Lepisosteus oculatus: one gene and its partner. The protein of the gene in region 1 purifies or fractionates together with the protein of each later gene. This does not show direct contact. Links are inferred from orthologs where the notes say so. Each region holds a gene or a part of one and is shown in the gene's direction. Other genes may lie near its edges.

Evidence for each region. Proteins that work in one complex are often made in the same cells at the same time.
Region 2: the proteins of araf (region 1) and bag2 purify together in Homo sapiens (affinity purification with mass spectrometry; 3 studies listed by BioGRID and IntAct, with this or other methods). This does not show direct contact. The link is inferred for Lepisosteus oculatus from reciprocal best matches to the Homo sapiens genes ARAF and BAG2.

The regions. Positions count from the first base shown.
Region 1 is NC_090697.1:77,646,288-77,654,213, forward strand, and holds the start of araf (serine/threonine-protein kinase A-Raf), read left to right. Parts: upstream 1-4,919; 5' UTR 4,920-4,998; intron 4,999-5,010; exon of another isoform or gene 5,011-5,174; intron 5,175-5,209; exon of another isoform or gene 5,210-7,409; intron 7,410-7,423; exon of another isoform or gene 7,424-7,926. Other genes in the region: tubulin alpha chain, testis-specific, read right to left, coding at 651-653. UniProt on the Homo sapiens protein: Involved in the transduction of mitogenic signals from the cell membrane to the nucleus. May also regulate the TOR signaling cascade. Phosphorylates PFKFB2.
Region 2 is NC_090712.1:19,975,322-19,982,716, forward strand, and holds the start of bag2 (BAG family molecular chaperone regulator 2), read left to right. Parts: upstream 1-4,313; 5' UTR 4,314-4,769; coding exon 4,770-4,894; intron 4,895-5,880; coding exon 5,881-5,990; intron 5,991-6,801; coding exon 6,802-7,196; 3' UTR 7,197-7,395. Other genes in the region: E3 SUMO-protein ligase ZNF451, read left to right, coding at 2,718-2,758. UniProt on the Homo sapiens protein: Co-chaperone for HSP70 and HSC70 chaperone proteins. Acts as a nucleotide-exchange factor (NEF) promoting the release of ADP from the HSP70 and HSC70 proteins thereby triggering client/substrate protein release.

The DNA.
Region 1 (7,926 bases):
GCTTTGCGAGCTACCAGATCACAGACCAACGGCCAAAGCGCACTAAATCACTCCGACTACACATCTTCATGGGGGGTTGAACACGAAGGCCTTGAGAGCCGGAACTTCGGGAGCTGCAATCTTGCACGTGTGGGGGCTGAAGTCTCCCGCCAAGACGAGTGACGCGCGTCCCGCACGCGGCCCACACGGCACGCAGGCCTGGGATTACAGACCGCGGCACGTTTACTATACACCGCCTCGCTAAGATGACCCGACGGTGGAGCAGGGAGGTTTTTTAGGAGTATTTGCGAGCGGTTTCGCGCAGTTTTCCAGACTCTCCCGGCAGCAGCGGGGGTGGCGGCGGTTAGTTTTCAAACTGCACAGGCGGACATTCCGCCGCGCGCCCCCTACTGTTGCCATGGAGATTAGATGCACCCCCCCACACACACACACAGAACCAGCACTTCAGCTCATACCAACCCAGCTGGGCCGCTTGGTACCGCTCGGCCCGTTTCAACTGGAGCCACCAGCCCGCCACCCTTGTGTCGCCTGCCAGCAACCGTATTTTGTTTTTAGGGAAAAAGACCACAAACGAGAAGACACGAAAGAGTGTACAGCATTGCGAGACTGGTAACTGTACTTTAAACCGATAATGTATCATAATGTCTTACCATAATTTGCTTTCCAAAAGTCGAACACAGTCACAAAAATAACTCCCACCTTCTCGCCTCCTACCGCCGGAGAACTTAACGGTCGCCTAATGACGAGCGAGCGCGAATTCTTGTTTTAAACGGTCCTCGTCTCGTAAGACCCGCCTACCACCTCGCGTCATCGGATAGGGCAGCGTTCTTTTTTATTTTCATTGCGCACGCAGGCCGTCTATCAAACGGTTCGTGAAAGTGATTGGATAAAGAAAGTGATTTAAATATAAGGTCGCGGCTTAGCGGGAATGCGCGCATTTCCCATAATGCAGCACTGGCATTTTTAGAGCGGGCAGTACGTCATCGACCGGTATTTTTTCAACTACATAAAGGCGCGAAAAATCGGTTAACTTTAAAATGTTTAATTTAAAAGCAAAATACATTTCAAGCATGGAAAATGTACCGCACAATCACGGTACAAAAACAAATATAAAGTACACGGTGTTACGTTTTCTTTTAAATGTAAAAAAATGCCAAGATATTTAATATTCGATAAAATATGAATAACTTTAACATATTGTTTATATAGTTTTTACTGATTTCCAATTATGTGTTTTGGTCCTGACCTCAGAATTAAAGTGTTATGTCTTTTTCGAGAGGGAGACTGTGGGGAATCTGAATTAGTGCTCGTTTGCCGTTTTTTAAAGCTGTTATTTAACGACGTCTTTCGTTGATCAAGATGGAGTGCAGAAAACCTTGACGATAGAAAGGGCGTTCATAGAAAGCATGAGGTTAACCATTTATCCCGTTAAAGTCCCACGTTAAGGACCGAGGGGCGACACCGGGACGGACTGAGACCCCGCCGACAGGCCGGGCTAGCCGGGTCCGAAGGCAATACGAGACCGTAAATATAAACAAAATGACAAACGTTTGCAGAATTAGGCACTGACGTATTTTATTTGTACATGTGCAAAAGCAGACATTTCGTAAGCAGCCTGTTGTGAGAAGATACTCGTTATCGCTTAATTATGCGCGCTGGCTCTCCCTCGAAACTGTTTTTCACACATCTGATGTTAGCACTGAATTTTAATTAAAAGCATAAACTTTCACATAAGCCGTCAAATTAATGAACACTTCCTCGGGTATAGCCAGCGTCTAGAAATTAAACCAAATAAAATGCCCCATTGCTTTCTAACTCTGTATTGTACTCTTGTCGATCAGATGGATTATGCCATGCAGGCTCTATGCACAGAGCCCAGTGTCACTCAGATCCCAGTCCTGGAGTCTTCTGTTTAATCAGGCTAATTGATCCTTTAATTGGGGTTCTTGCTTGATTAGACCTTTTCAATCTGTTTTTGCACTCGTGTTTCAGAGAATCTGTTGTGAGTTGCAGGGCTGCATGAGGCTCAGTGGTCAGCATTGCAGCCTCTCAGCGCTGGGGCCCTGGGCTCTATTCCAGACCTGGGCTGCTGTCGCTGTGGAGTCTGCATGTTCTCCTCGAGTTTGTGTGGGTATACTGTGGGGGCTCCACATTCCGAGAACACACTGGTAGATGAATTGGCTTCTGGATTGCCCCTGGTGTGAGTGTGTGTCCCCAGGCTTGTGTCCGTTGTTTGCTGGGGTCGGCTCCGGCTCTCCACGGCCCTGAACTCAATGACACGGCAGCCGACACGTTGTGTTGCCTGTCTTCTCTTTCCAGCAGGAATAAACCTTTGGCTTGTTCTTCTGCAGCCTCTGCATGCTGACGCAGCTCCCTGCTTGAGCTTACTGAATAAGAGTTCGGATGGAGAAAAAGACAGAAGAGAGGGGTTGAGAAGCACTCTTGTGACCCTCTGTTTTCCAATTGCCTTCTTTTAATAATAATAATAATAATAATAATAATAATAATAATAATAATAATAATAATTGCTTACACTTATATAGTGCTATTCTGGACACCCCACTCAAAGTGCTTTACAGGTAATGGGGATCCCCTCCACCACCACCAATGTGCAGCCCCACCTGGATGATGCGACAGCAGCCATAGTGCGCCAGAACGCTCACCACACACAAGCTCTCAGTGGGGAGGAGAGCAGAGTGATGAAGCCAATTCATAAATGGGGATTATAAGGAAGCCATGATTAGTAAAGGGGGAAATTTGCCCAGGACGCCGGGGTTACACCCCTACTCTTTTCAAGAAACGCCCTGGGATTTTTTTTGTGATAATGCTCAGTGCAGAGTGGCCACAGATGGTTATTCCCAATGCTTCCTCTCTAAGATTTCAGGGTGCTGTGTGGAACCAGCTGCCCAGTTATGTCGCTGAAGCCAAAACCCTTGTTTCTTTCCAGAGAAGGCTGGATGAGATCCTGGGATCAATCACTACTCACTACCTAACAGGCCAGTTGGGCTGAATGGCTCCTCTCCTTTTTAACTTTCCAGCTTTCTGCTGAGAGGGGCTCAGATCGGCTTTTCAGCCCTTAACATGAGCAGGCAGTGATGAGCTTTGGGAAGAGTTAATAGTGCTTCTCTGCAGGGCTGGTGATTAACAGCACCACTGCGGTGCCAGGCAGTTGGAGTGTGTCTCAGCCTTTAAGAACACATTTAGGAACTTCGTGCTCTGAGCACAGATGGCTGTGTGGGAACAGCACTGCGAGAGATCCCAGCCCAGGAGTGTCCGCTGGGAATGATGAATAATGAAAAATGTGCCACATACCCATGAAAATAAAGCACTCGAGCACTGCGCTGCACACAGACTGGTACAGATGGGTTCCGTTGCAGGTACGGCCGTATGAAAACAGAGTGCGTCAGAGCAGACATAATCCCTGAGATCTGAGATCAGTTTTTACAGCAAACTAAACGATTGCTTTATACAGAAGTGTGTTGGTGCCAATGCAGTAAAAATAAAATAGATCATCTGAGTGAGACTTTATCGCATTTGTATCATTTGCAGAAACTGGGAGGTGGGGGTCTGCCTTCACCAGTGTTTTTTTGTGATTTAACCCTTTATTTAGCCAGGTAAGTGAACAGGGAACAGACTCTGATTTACCCGCTGACGCAGCGTGCCCTGCCTGAGACGTGAACTGGCAGCCCCCTCACCCTCTGCCGTGGACAGTGCTGTCGTGAGCGTGACCTCAGGCTCTCGGACCTTCGCAGGGTCCAGGGAGCACAGGGAGAGGAGTGGAGGCCTGTGAGAAACGACTTTAGTCTGGTTCAGACCCTTCCCATCCTCTGACACCCCCTCTGCTCCATCTCTCGCCGCTGATTTCTCGCTTTAAAGACCTTTCCAACTTCATTTCACAATTCAATATTGATTTACATCACATTTAAAACATTCTTAATAATAATTAGTAATAATTCTTCACACTTATAAAGTGCTTAGCGCCGTGGCTGGAAGGTTGCTGGTTCATTTCCCACGGCCGGCAGAGGAACCCTACTCCTCTGGGCCCCTGAGCGAGGCCCTTAACTCCAGCTGCTCCAGGGGCGCTGTATAAATGGCTGACCCTGCGCTCTGACCCCCAGCTTCTCTCCCCATCTGTGTGCCTGTGTGTCTCATGGAGAGCAAGCCGGGATATGCGATAAAGACAAAATCCTAAAGCAAGAAACGGTATATGGCTAATAAAGTGATCTTATCTAATCTTCCCTGGACACTCCACTCAAAGCGCTTTACAGGTAATGGGGATCCCCTCCACCACCGCCAGTGTGCAGCCCCACCTGGATGATGCTCCAGTACTCTGCCCACACACCAGCTCTCAGTGGCAAAGAGAGCAGAGTGATGAAGCCAGTTCAGAGATGGGGATGTTGTTGTCGCTATTATTATTATTATTATTACTATTAATATTATCAACTTGAACAAGACACTGGCTCTAGAGTGTCACGCAGTCTGTAACTGCTTAATTGCGGCTGTGCCTGGGAGGCTGGTTTCGAAGCTCACGTCCTCTTCTTCCCCGGCAGCAGCCAGGCTTGAAGCCGTCGCCCCCTGCGTGGGGCCGGTGTCTCTGCAGGTGGCTGGGGGGAGGGGTAGGCCTGTCTGGCGGCTAAGGGGTTAAAGGGGGTGCGCGCCGGGACTGGGGCTCCGACCCGCTGCAGCTATCCCTTCTCCTCCCGACCCCAGGAGTGCCCCCTATCCCTCAGCCACGCACGGGCTGCGCCTGCTCCAGCGCTTCTCCCGCTCGGCCCGGAGTCCAGTCCCACTTCTCTAGTGCAACACACACAAGTGTCGCAATTCCAGGGCCCGCCCCCCGGACGGGTGATCTCCGGAACAGACGGGCCCGGCCGCCCAATCACAGCGCCCTCCCGGGGGAGCCAGCCAATGAGCGGGCGGCACGGGGGGCGGACCCCCGCTGAAGCAGATTCTTGCTCTGTTCTTTAAGTCTGAGAGAATTCAAGATGGCCGCCCCAGGTAGGTGTTTATTTCAGGAATCATAATACTGTGCTGAAGGTGAATCCGAGGCGAGCAGGGCTGCGATTGTCTGTCCGCCCCTTTCGCGTTCGTTTGTTCGCACACCGGAGGACTGTGGAGGCCACTGTTAGGCCCCTGGGGTTAGAAATGCTACTTTTGACCACCGGAGTGAACAAGTAAGCCCCGTTCGCTTTAATTAAACTCGACCTGCTCTGAAAGTACAGAAACCGGGTGTAGGTGACGCCTCGCTGGCGGGGGGAGCCGGGGACGTGTTTCGGGGGGGGGATGGGGTTTGCGCGCCGCTGGTGGAACATCCCCGTGAGTCGGAGAGCTGGCCGTGCCCCCGCCGGGCGGGGAAGCCGTCACCCGTGGAAAGTTCACGGCGTGTTTTCCGCGCTCAGACACACCTGTGCGTTTCCATCGGGGGGCCGCCGCGCAGCTCTTCCGCCTCTGGCACGTGTGTGGGCTTGTCGGACCCGCGGGGACGCGGCGCGTCCGCAGGTGTGTCGCCCGTGCGAGTGGGGTCCCGTCCTGCCCGGGGTGACCCCCGCACCTGCCGGGCCCCCGGAACACGTCCCACGGCTCCCCGAGCGAGTACCCCGCCCGCCTGGGCTCGCCGGCCGGCTGTCTTCTCACTGCCCGCCGAGCGGGGCAGCTGGACCGGAGCCGGCGTGCGGCTGACGGAGATCCGGGTACCGTCAGCAGCGCGTCACGGGTGCCCGAGTCAGCCCTGTGCGGGCTCTGACCCCGTCCCTCACCCCTCACCCCTCACCCAGCCGGGGGCCAGCTCAGGGCGTCCCGGCGAGGCTGTGGGGACACCTCCGCTGGGTCCTGTGGGGGTCCGGTGACCCCGTGAGCAGGCCGGCTGGACCGGCGAGCAGGCGGGCAGTGTTTTTGAGCCGAGGCTCTCGCTGGGGAGGAAGACGAAGGGTCAGGTGGCTCGCTGCAGCAGAGCCCGCCGGCTGTAGGGCTGGGGAGGAGGCCGTGGGCAGAGCCAGGACCCGCTGGAGGGCCGGGGTCCTCTTGAGCACCTGCTCTGAGTGTGGGAGCTGGCTGGGCGCTCCGGGCGCTGCTGTTCCCTGTCCTTGGGGGTAATCGATTGCTGCCATTCAGTTATCAAGGTAGGCAAAATGCCCCGTGGGGTAGGTGCCAGGGACGGAGGAGGTGGTGCCCAGGCAGCTCGAACCCTCAGCTGCTGGGTCTGCTGCTGGTCCCGGCGTGCGGCCTGCTGGGTTTCTTGCTCCGGGGCGCGCTGTCCCGGCCTGCGGCACGAGTCCGCAGGGCACGGCTTCGCTCGAACATGAGCGTGCAGACAGCCGTCTTATCATCTGACCTCAGGCTGGCAGAAAGCACAGCGATGAAGCAACAGAGTCCTGGAGAGGAAGTTAGCCAGGTCGATCGGCTTGACAGCCACTTCCTGCTGGGGTCGGAGGTCGGGACCAGAGAGGGTCTCGGGCCAGGGGCTGTGAGTGTCGCACGGCTCGCATCGCGTCGGAGGCCTTGCCTCTGTGGCAAGAGGGGTGTCCCCTCTCGCACCGTGGGGTGGCACCTCGCCGAGCAGGCCCCACTGGCGTGGGGGCGCGTCTCGCAGAGAGCTGTCGTTGTCCGTGGGGTGGTGCCAGCAAAGCCACTGTAGCTGCCAGGGGTGAGCGCGTGAGAGGGGGGCTGGGGGGCAGAGGGGGCACACGGAGCTCGGGTCTCTCTCGGAGCCCTCTGGCAGCAGGGCGAGGAGGCTGTGGCGCTGCGGCTCGGGATCGGTGCAGAAACCTCCAGCCTGCAGCAGCAGCTGCACAGTCAGGGTTGTGGTCCCTCAGTGCTTCCTTCCTCCACTGGCCTCTAGTTTCCTCCTCGCTCATGATTCGCAAACTCGTCTCATGAGTGAGAAGCGACGCCGCTCGCGGTCTGGCCGGGCTGTTCCCGCGGCTCCGCCGCTGCGCACCGGGGTCGCGTGAGTTCTGCCTTTCTGACTTGGGCTGCACGCTTGCCCTCCCCTCGCGGTGGGATTTGTGGGGCTGAGAGATCAATCCAAGTTTCGGCGGCGCAGCTCTCCTGTCTGAGCTGCGTGACGCCAGGACGATCTTGGCGCTGAAATGTGGTGACAAGTCGGCCGTCATGGTGCAAAGCTGAGCTGATACAGACCAGAGCTGGGACCTGTCCTCCGGGTGTCCAGCCCCCGTCTGTGGAAGCAGTATATTCTGCAGCTCCGTATGGATAAGAGGAAAAGTAATAAGATCCCTGCAGGCAGCCTTACAGGTGCTGATGTCTGTGCTCAGGCTGAGGCAGACCTGGCTTTCTTCCCACAGGTTCCTGGTGTTCATTCCTCCGGCGGGTCCGGACTGGGGATCCGAGCTGTGAGGCTCGTCACGGGGAGCGCGGTCTTGACCCGCTCTGCACGTTCGGACCCTGGGCAGGTTAGAGTGGAGGGGGGATAGCTCAGGCTGCAAGGCTAGCTCATTTGTGAGTAACTGGCCGAAACGGCCCAGTGTGAGGACTGGCGAGCGAAGCGCTAATTTCAGTGTGCTGCATGGCCAGGCGCATGAGGAAATGTCTCGGGTTCAGTCGGGCCTGTACGCGATGTTCTGTTAAAAGCAGCGAGGCAGCCAGCTTTCTGATAATGGTGTTTGTGATTTGTTCAGTGGAATGAAGGATAGTTGAGATTCGGTGTCGTGGCGGAAGGATGATGCTGTGTTTTGGTGGTGCGTGTGCCAGATGGCAAGAGTGTCCCGTCTCCTCCGCTCTGTGTGGAGTTCTCTCCACCAGGAGGGTGTCAGTTCAGCAGGCGATGGGCGTTCATCAGACGCTCCTTGAGCAGCCCTGAGGAGACCCTGGTGGCAGATGAGCTGCTCTGTGGGTAAAGCTAATTGGACATGACGAGCAGCTGGGCTCCGAAATGACAGTGAAGAAAAAGCGGAGCGGTGATGAAGGTTT
Region 2 (7,395 bases), on another chromosome or scaffold:
TTACTTTATATGCAGACAAAAGTAGGGGTTTCTAAGTGATAATTTTAGTCTTTGATTCTTCTACATTTTCTGTGATCATAACTAATGTTTTAGTCTGACCCTTACCTGTTAGTGTTTGTTAGTCATAGACCAATGATTGGACATTCCTGGACAAAGAAATAGCTTTAGTTGTTTTTGTAAATTGTAATAGAATTTGTTTCCTATTTTATATGTGGTGATTTAGCCAGCACTACAGTTAGAGGGGTGTTGAGCGGCATGGCTCTCATCGACATCACGGCAAGCTCACCAGTGCCAGCAGGTCCCAGAAGCAGCTTTCACACTGACAGCCCAAGCAATCCCAGCAGCCCTCACAAATGGTGTCCTGCTGCTTGGGCTATCTGGGTCACAGCGTGCTCAAATCACAGGGCGGAGGACATCTGCACCACTGGCCTGAACAGCTGCTCTGCTTAGACACCGTGACTGCTGTGGCCGCTCCAGATCCCAACAAGAAGATTTCTCTAGGCTAGGTCATTCTTAGATCAATTATTAACAAAGACAAGAATTGATTTAACATCAAAACAAGGAGTTGTTTAATAGTTTTTAAGACTTCAGAATGAAAATGTGAGAGTCTTCTAAGAGTAGAGATAAATTTGCAAGTCAATTTCCTAAATTGATCAATAGCTCCAGGGCTGTGACTTTTCTGGAACAGAGTTGGCCAACCCTGATACAAACTAAAAATGCAGACAGCATTTGTTTTTGCTATACAGTTTACCCGTTTTATTGTTGTTAATTATATACTTAAATAAGTACAAACTAGCATTATGAGTCCGTAAATGCTTGTATTGAAAGTGGGTTCCAGTGATGATGTGCTGTTTTTAACTGAGTGTTCCCACAGCAAACCTCTAGTACAGAACTGAGAAATAGACACCAGAAACAATGTCCTCTTGCATGTGGTTGACTGAAACAACAGGGTTCTGTGTGTGTGCTGAGGAGAATGATCTGCCATTGTCACCTTTGCACCGAAGAGGCAGATTAATATGAGATATTCTTATTTGGGGGGTTTACCCAATTTAATTTGATTTTCCACCTGTTTCTTTGTCCCCCAGCTGTGCATTTGGATCAGACTTGAAAGCCATCCTTACACTGAATGTATAGATACTTGGAATGCAGAGCAGGGCTAAAATTAGCTCTTGTCTGTATCATCTCTGCCATCCAGCAGGCTTTGTAAAGTTAGGGATCCCTGTGACAGTTAAAGGGACAGCAGGCTGCTCTTGCAGGGCGCAGAGCTGTTGGGGTGTCCGCTGTGTAAGTGTGTTCGAGGTAGTGAGTGCTGGAGGGCTGGGTGTGATACAGGGTACTAGGGAGAGAGTAGGGGCTGTCTGGACAGCAGGCTCTCGGTGCCCTGAAGAGACTTGGGGTGGGAGAGACGGAGTTCTGAGCGCTGCAGGCTCTGTGTGCGAGACCCAGCCTGGTTGAAGAGCAAGCGAGCTGTAGGCCCCAAGCTCGTGTGTCACCAGGGTCACTGTGAACGAGGGGCTCGGTGACGTCAGGCCGTGGTTGTGGTGGAGTCTGTCGGCCAGTGTGAGCAGCGCTCTCGGAGGACAGTGCGTGTATACGTGTGGAAGAGGTTCCCCAGCAAGCTCAAAGAGGCGTGTCTGGAGCATGGGACACACCAGTCCAAGCTCAAGTGGTGGCCCCTACCCCTGCGGTGTCACACCATGAAGATCTAACTGCATTTTAGGTGTAAAACATACAAGACTAGAACCACTAGGGGGGTTAACACACACTTTTTAACAAACCTGAAAGAGACACCAGGACCAGAATCAGACACCTGCCTGAGACCATTACAAACCTGACACTCAGCTGACTTTAAAAAATAATTTTCATCATCATGTCGGTAATGCTTTTTTTGTTTACAGTGAGTAATAGATTTTAGGCTTTTGCTTTTTTTTCCACCTGTTTGTTGATATGAGTTTATTTGAGTTAAGGGATTTTCCTGTCTTCAGTTTTGAGGTTAAAATGGTTGTTTTCCCCTGTACTCTGTGTAATGGTCACAAAAGCAAGAACATTGAGACCAAACGATTTCTTTCTATTAAAGCATTGTTTTTGTATTTTGTTCTAAAATAAATAAGTAAAACACAATGTATAAATGTTAATTGTTTTATGTTTGTTTTATTCTATATTCATTCTATTATTTTAAAAAAACATAAATTACACCTGGATTTGGACATGATTTTTGCTTGAAAATCGGAATCTCTGATTAGAATCCATCAGAACAGGGTGAAGCCAAGCTGCAGTGTGTCAGCATACTAGCATTTCTGTATTTGTGGCAGAATATGGTAGTAAGGTGGTTCCTGATCTGTTCTGACTGGTGGATTTACATTCTCAGTGCAGACACTGTTGTAGCAAGCAGATTGCTGCAGCCCACCCAGCTGTAGAAAGCGTGGAGTCTCATCCAGGGAGACTCTTGAACTCAGCCAAAACGAGCTTCAGTACTTAGGAATGTAAAATGAAAGATCAGTTTCAATAGATATTGCAAGCTTTGTTTTCCCAAGTTGTACAGTATAGTAGTGACCATATTAGCCACTTGACATCTGACTTTGATTTGAAAAAAAGAAATGCACATTCAGTTTACTTGCTCTGTTTCAGTTGTTGCTCACAGGTTTGCCGAGTCCATTATGATTTTCAAGTGTATTATGCTCTATTGCTAAATTCATTTTTATCCCTTATCTCTGCAGAGCTCGAAGAAGCTATCACTAGAAGCCTTCAGGAGTTCTGATCCAAAGATGACTTTTAAGTGATCTTTTTTTTTCCCCCATGAACCTGAATAATGTTTAAACTGGTAATACTGGTTCCTGTTTAAAAAAAAAAAGCAAAGCAATGTGTGTTTATTATTATTTGATGACTCTTAAGTTGGAATGTTAATAATTAAAGTCAGCATTATTCAATAAAAATACAAATCTATTATTAAGGTTAAGCATGTTTTATTATTGAGCAAATATTTTATTTTTTCCAGGTATAAAGCGTATAAATGTGTAAATTTAGATGAAGATCGATTTCCTGAAGATGGTTTTCCCGCTATTTTTAGTTTTTCTTAGTTAAGAAGAATCAATTTGATTTTTAAAAATAAAAGCACATAGAGCCCGCCTCATGTCTGTGCAGTGGTGGTGGTAAAGACTGCACACTTCCTCGAAGTGCACAGTGGGAAGACGCTCCGCTCTCCTCACACTTGGAGTCTGAAAATGCCTACAGGAGGGCTGGTATCATGCCTGACAGCTCCCTGCCAGCCCGCTGTTCCACTGTGGGCAGAGGATGCCTTAGCTGCCTGCACACTCACCCAGTTTAGCCCTGAACCAGTTGTGTGCCACTGTCTGGGGAAACTGGCTCACAATCGTCAGACATCGCTTGGACTGCAACCCGCAGTGTCTGAACTGACAGACTCCACCTGTGCTGGTGCACCTGTACGGTTTGGGCCTCTCAGGAGTGGGAGCAGTGATTAAATACAAATACTCTTCCTCTGGGTGTAGGACTTTTAACAGCACAGGACATTTTTCAAAAGGTAGCCTTTAACTCTGTTTGCTTAATACATTAATTTTTAATACTTTACACACCTGCAGGCAAAAAAAACCCCAAATCTTTTCTGTAAAATGAATAATGACAGATCGTATTCAGAAGATGACGGGGGAATAAAATCTTATCCTTGTCATTCTTCATTGAGGTTGTATTGGCGCTATAACATGAACAGGCTGTTTTTAATTCATATATTTAGGTCTGTGAGCAGTATGTCCTGTTTTTTTTTATATAATGCAGGTTGGGAATGTGTGGAAGCAAGCATGCTAATTCCAGATAAAGTACTGCGGGTTCATTAATAGCCTGTGTGCACTTTGTGCATAAAGGAACCAAGTGCAAGTTAAACAGGTTCAGAGACGTGTTCTGCTTCTGCCGTCATCTCTATATGCGTACATATATTAGTAGAGTGCAGTGCCCGATGAAATCTGAAAGAAACGAAGGTGAAGCTGGAAGAAATATAAAAAATCTAGTTTTTCTCCCTACTGTATGTTGGCATGCTGTAGTGTGATTTAACGGCACAGAATGAGGTACGACAAAGCGCAGAAAATGTGAACATTAAAGCCATTACATGAGTGATGTATTACATTAAAGTGTAACATGAGGAAATTGGTTATGTTAAAATCACCATGTAATTGTCATGAAAAATATAACGGGTTTCTCCTGTCTATTTAGCCTGTGGTCTGACGGGGGCGCTATAGTATCATACTGGGCTAGCCTGTGAGCACCGATACCGCAGGAGGTTAATGTCAGTGTCGTTCCGCTTTAATATGTATGCCTGTTTTTCAAAGGCGGCCGTTCCATAAATGGTCAAAATAGGATATTTCCAATTCATAGAGAGTCATGGTCGTTCGTCTGCGCTTGATTGAAATGATCCACGACAAGACACACGGGCAACTTGGCTACAATGTACCGAGGCTACAAAGGGCGCAGTCTGTGATACCCCGTGGAAAACTGGGGCTGTGCAGGGTTGAGACCGGCTGAGATGTCGGGGTCAGTGGATTGTGCTGGAGCCCCCCGCCCTGCGCCGAGCGCTCGGCCTGCTCCCCGGGAGAGGGCGGCGGGGAAGGTCCGGCCCATGTTTGGAAATGTTGACATACGGGCGCCGCCTGCGAGCGGCGAGCTGCAAGCGAAACTGCTAGAAGGTGCCCCTAGAGGGAAGATCGGAGAGCAGTGGGTTAAGGAGCTGCGACTCTCCCGGGGAATCGGCATTTCCAGGCACCATGGCTCAAGCTAAGATCCTCGCCAAAATGAATGAAAGTGAGAGGAACAGCAAGTTCAGCAGATCCTTGTCCATGGCGGATCGATCGGGACAACTGCTTGAGAGCCTGGATCAGCTAGAGCTCAGGTAATGTTTGGGGTGGGAGAGGTTTTAGAAAACTTTAAACATTTTTAAAAGTTTTAAATGAAAAGAACAGCGGCCGAAGTTCGCTCGTCTTGACTGGATTGTATTTCAGTTTTTTTTAGAGCCGCTTTCTTGTGTTCGTGGGCTCTGGCACCTTGTTTCCAAGACCGCATTCTTGTCCTGTCGCTTAGTCTCGTCTTCAGAGATACATTGTATCTGAAAACAACGGCACACTTTGTTGTTTTGAAGCTCGTTTGCAAATATTTCAATTTTTGTATTGTATGAAAAACAGGTGGACAAGGGGGGGTCGACTCCCACGTGCCGTCTTGGGAAATTAAAAATAGCCCCTTTTGGGGATTCTCGGGGCTGCTGCGCTTCAGCGCAATCCACTTCACACTTTCATACGAAAACCTGCTGTTCGTCAACACTGCCTTGTGATTTTACTGCTCGGAACATTTAACTTATTGGCTGTTTAAATCCTAGACCTGTCCGTTTCTTCCAAACAGCTGCAGTTCAACACGTACCGTACAGTAGGTTCACATTCCTCACATGAGTGTCATTTTACAAGGAGATTACAGAACCGCAGGATGTATTTCTTTGGAAATGTAGTTCACGTGTTTTCTGATTTTTGTCCAGAACATTTTGAGGCAGAGATAATTGTCCTGGATCTAGCTGTACACTACGTATAAATATTTTTACACCACTTGGCAGTTGATATATTTGTACATAATGATCCTACTTTACTTAAATTTGAAACAAATTCTTAACTGCAACAAGAATATAACCATCTGGTTTCCTCAGGCATATCCAATATTCACAACCTAAGTTTGTTCTGTAATATAATAGCATTGTTTAAATAGGCCGATCTCAAATGGAAAAAATGCAAACCCATTGGTGTAGTTTTTCAGCATTAAATGTAAAATGTGTTACTAAGGCCAGTCGATTCTTTCATGAAGTAAAACAGACTAAACATTGTTGTCTTCTGTCAGAGTGGAAGCTTTACGAGAGGCAGCGACTGCGATGGAGCAGGAGAAGGAAAGTTTGCTGGAAATGATTCAGTCTGTGAAGAACAGCCAGGAGATGCGAACCATCAGTGATGGTGAGTGAGAGGAGTGTCACACTGTAGGTCACGGACAGCTGTCACACAGGTGAAGACTGACAAGGTCTGTGAAAACCGTGGATCTTATTTCCTGCGCCCTTTCCATGTGCAGCATACATAGTCTGGAGCAGGGTTTCTTTAACCTCGTTTGGCTACAAGACATCCTGCTCAAGCAGTCTCTCAGATGCCCCAATTTAGATATAACATCAAGCCGAAGTCTGTGATTAGTTTTCAAAGAAATCTACTATTTGTTAAAATATTGCAGGCAGATCTACATGTCAACAGATCCACTGTGCTATCAGAGCAGATCCACTTTTTTAAGAACATCGATTTTTCATGTACTGTAGATACATATATATATTCTCTTTGATTGTGGGGTCCTCTTAGACCCTAGTTAAACCCATCCATTGCAGTCTGGTAAAATCCGATGATCAAAAATGTTCATTTGAACCGACAGCAGTGCAATAGGGTGCGAGATAAAGGAACTGTCTTTGTAGCTTCCAGATTTAATAATTCCCCTGTTTAAATAGGAACAAAGAATATCACACACTGAATAGACAGTTTCCTGCTGAAAAAAGTAAAGAAAAGTCATTTTTAGTGATATTTGTAACAAGATACAATCAACAATTATTTCTTATGATGTTTGTTGTTCCGTTTTCAACAGAGGAATGAATAAATCAGGAGGGCACAGTTTTAGTGAATTCAGCCTAGAATCAGTCAATCAGTGAAGCTGTCCATTGTGTACCTCGGATCTTGTTTGTGCTGCACACACCGTGTCTTCATTCTAGAGACCCCTTTTTCCCATTTTCAGGGGAACGGGAGGAGCTGACGTTGACCGCAGACCGCCTGCTTGGTCGAACCCTGACTGTCGAGGTTTCCGTGGAAACCATCCGTAACCCCCAGCAGCAGGAAGCTCTGAGGAAGGCGACGTCTGAGATTGATGAGATCGCCTCCAAAGTTCTGGATGACTTGGACGGTGCCAGAAAGCGCCTGATGTCTCTGCATGCAGCCTGTATCACTGAGGCACCCCTGGGTCCTGTGGATCAGAAGTTCCAGACCATAGTCATCAGCTGTGCCTTGGAGGACCAGAAGAAAATCAAGAGAAGGCTGGAGACTCTGATCCGAAATGTGGACAACACAGGAAAAACCATAAGGATTATGGATCAGCAGAAAGTCGACCTTCCAAAAACCTCAAATGGCAACTAAACCTGCCTGTGCTATTGTTACTGTAGAGCTAACATAACGACTATTATACACTCACTAATCTATAAGAGTTTAACATAACACTCTCCTGAAGAATTAAGATTTCATAGCATGATGGCATCATATACATTCCACTGAGCATAAGAAAGATGGAAAACGAGAAGGCCATTAGGTTTGTCTGAAAGGAGTCATTCAAAGAAAT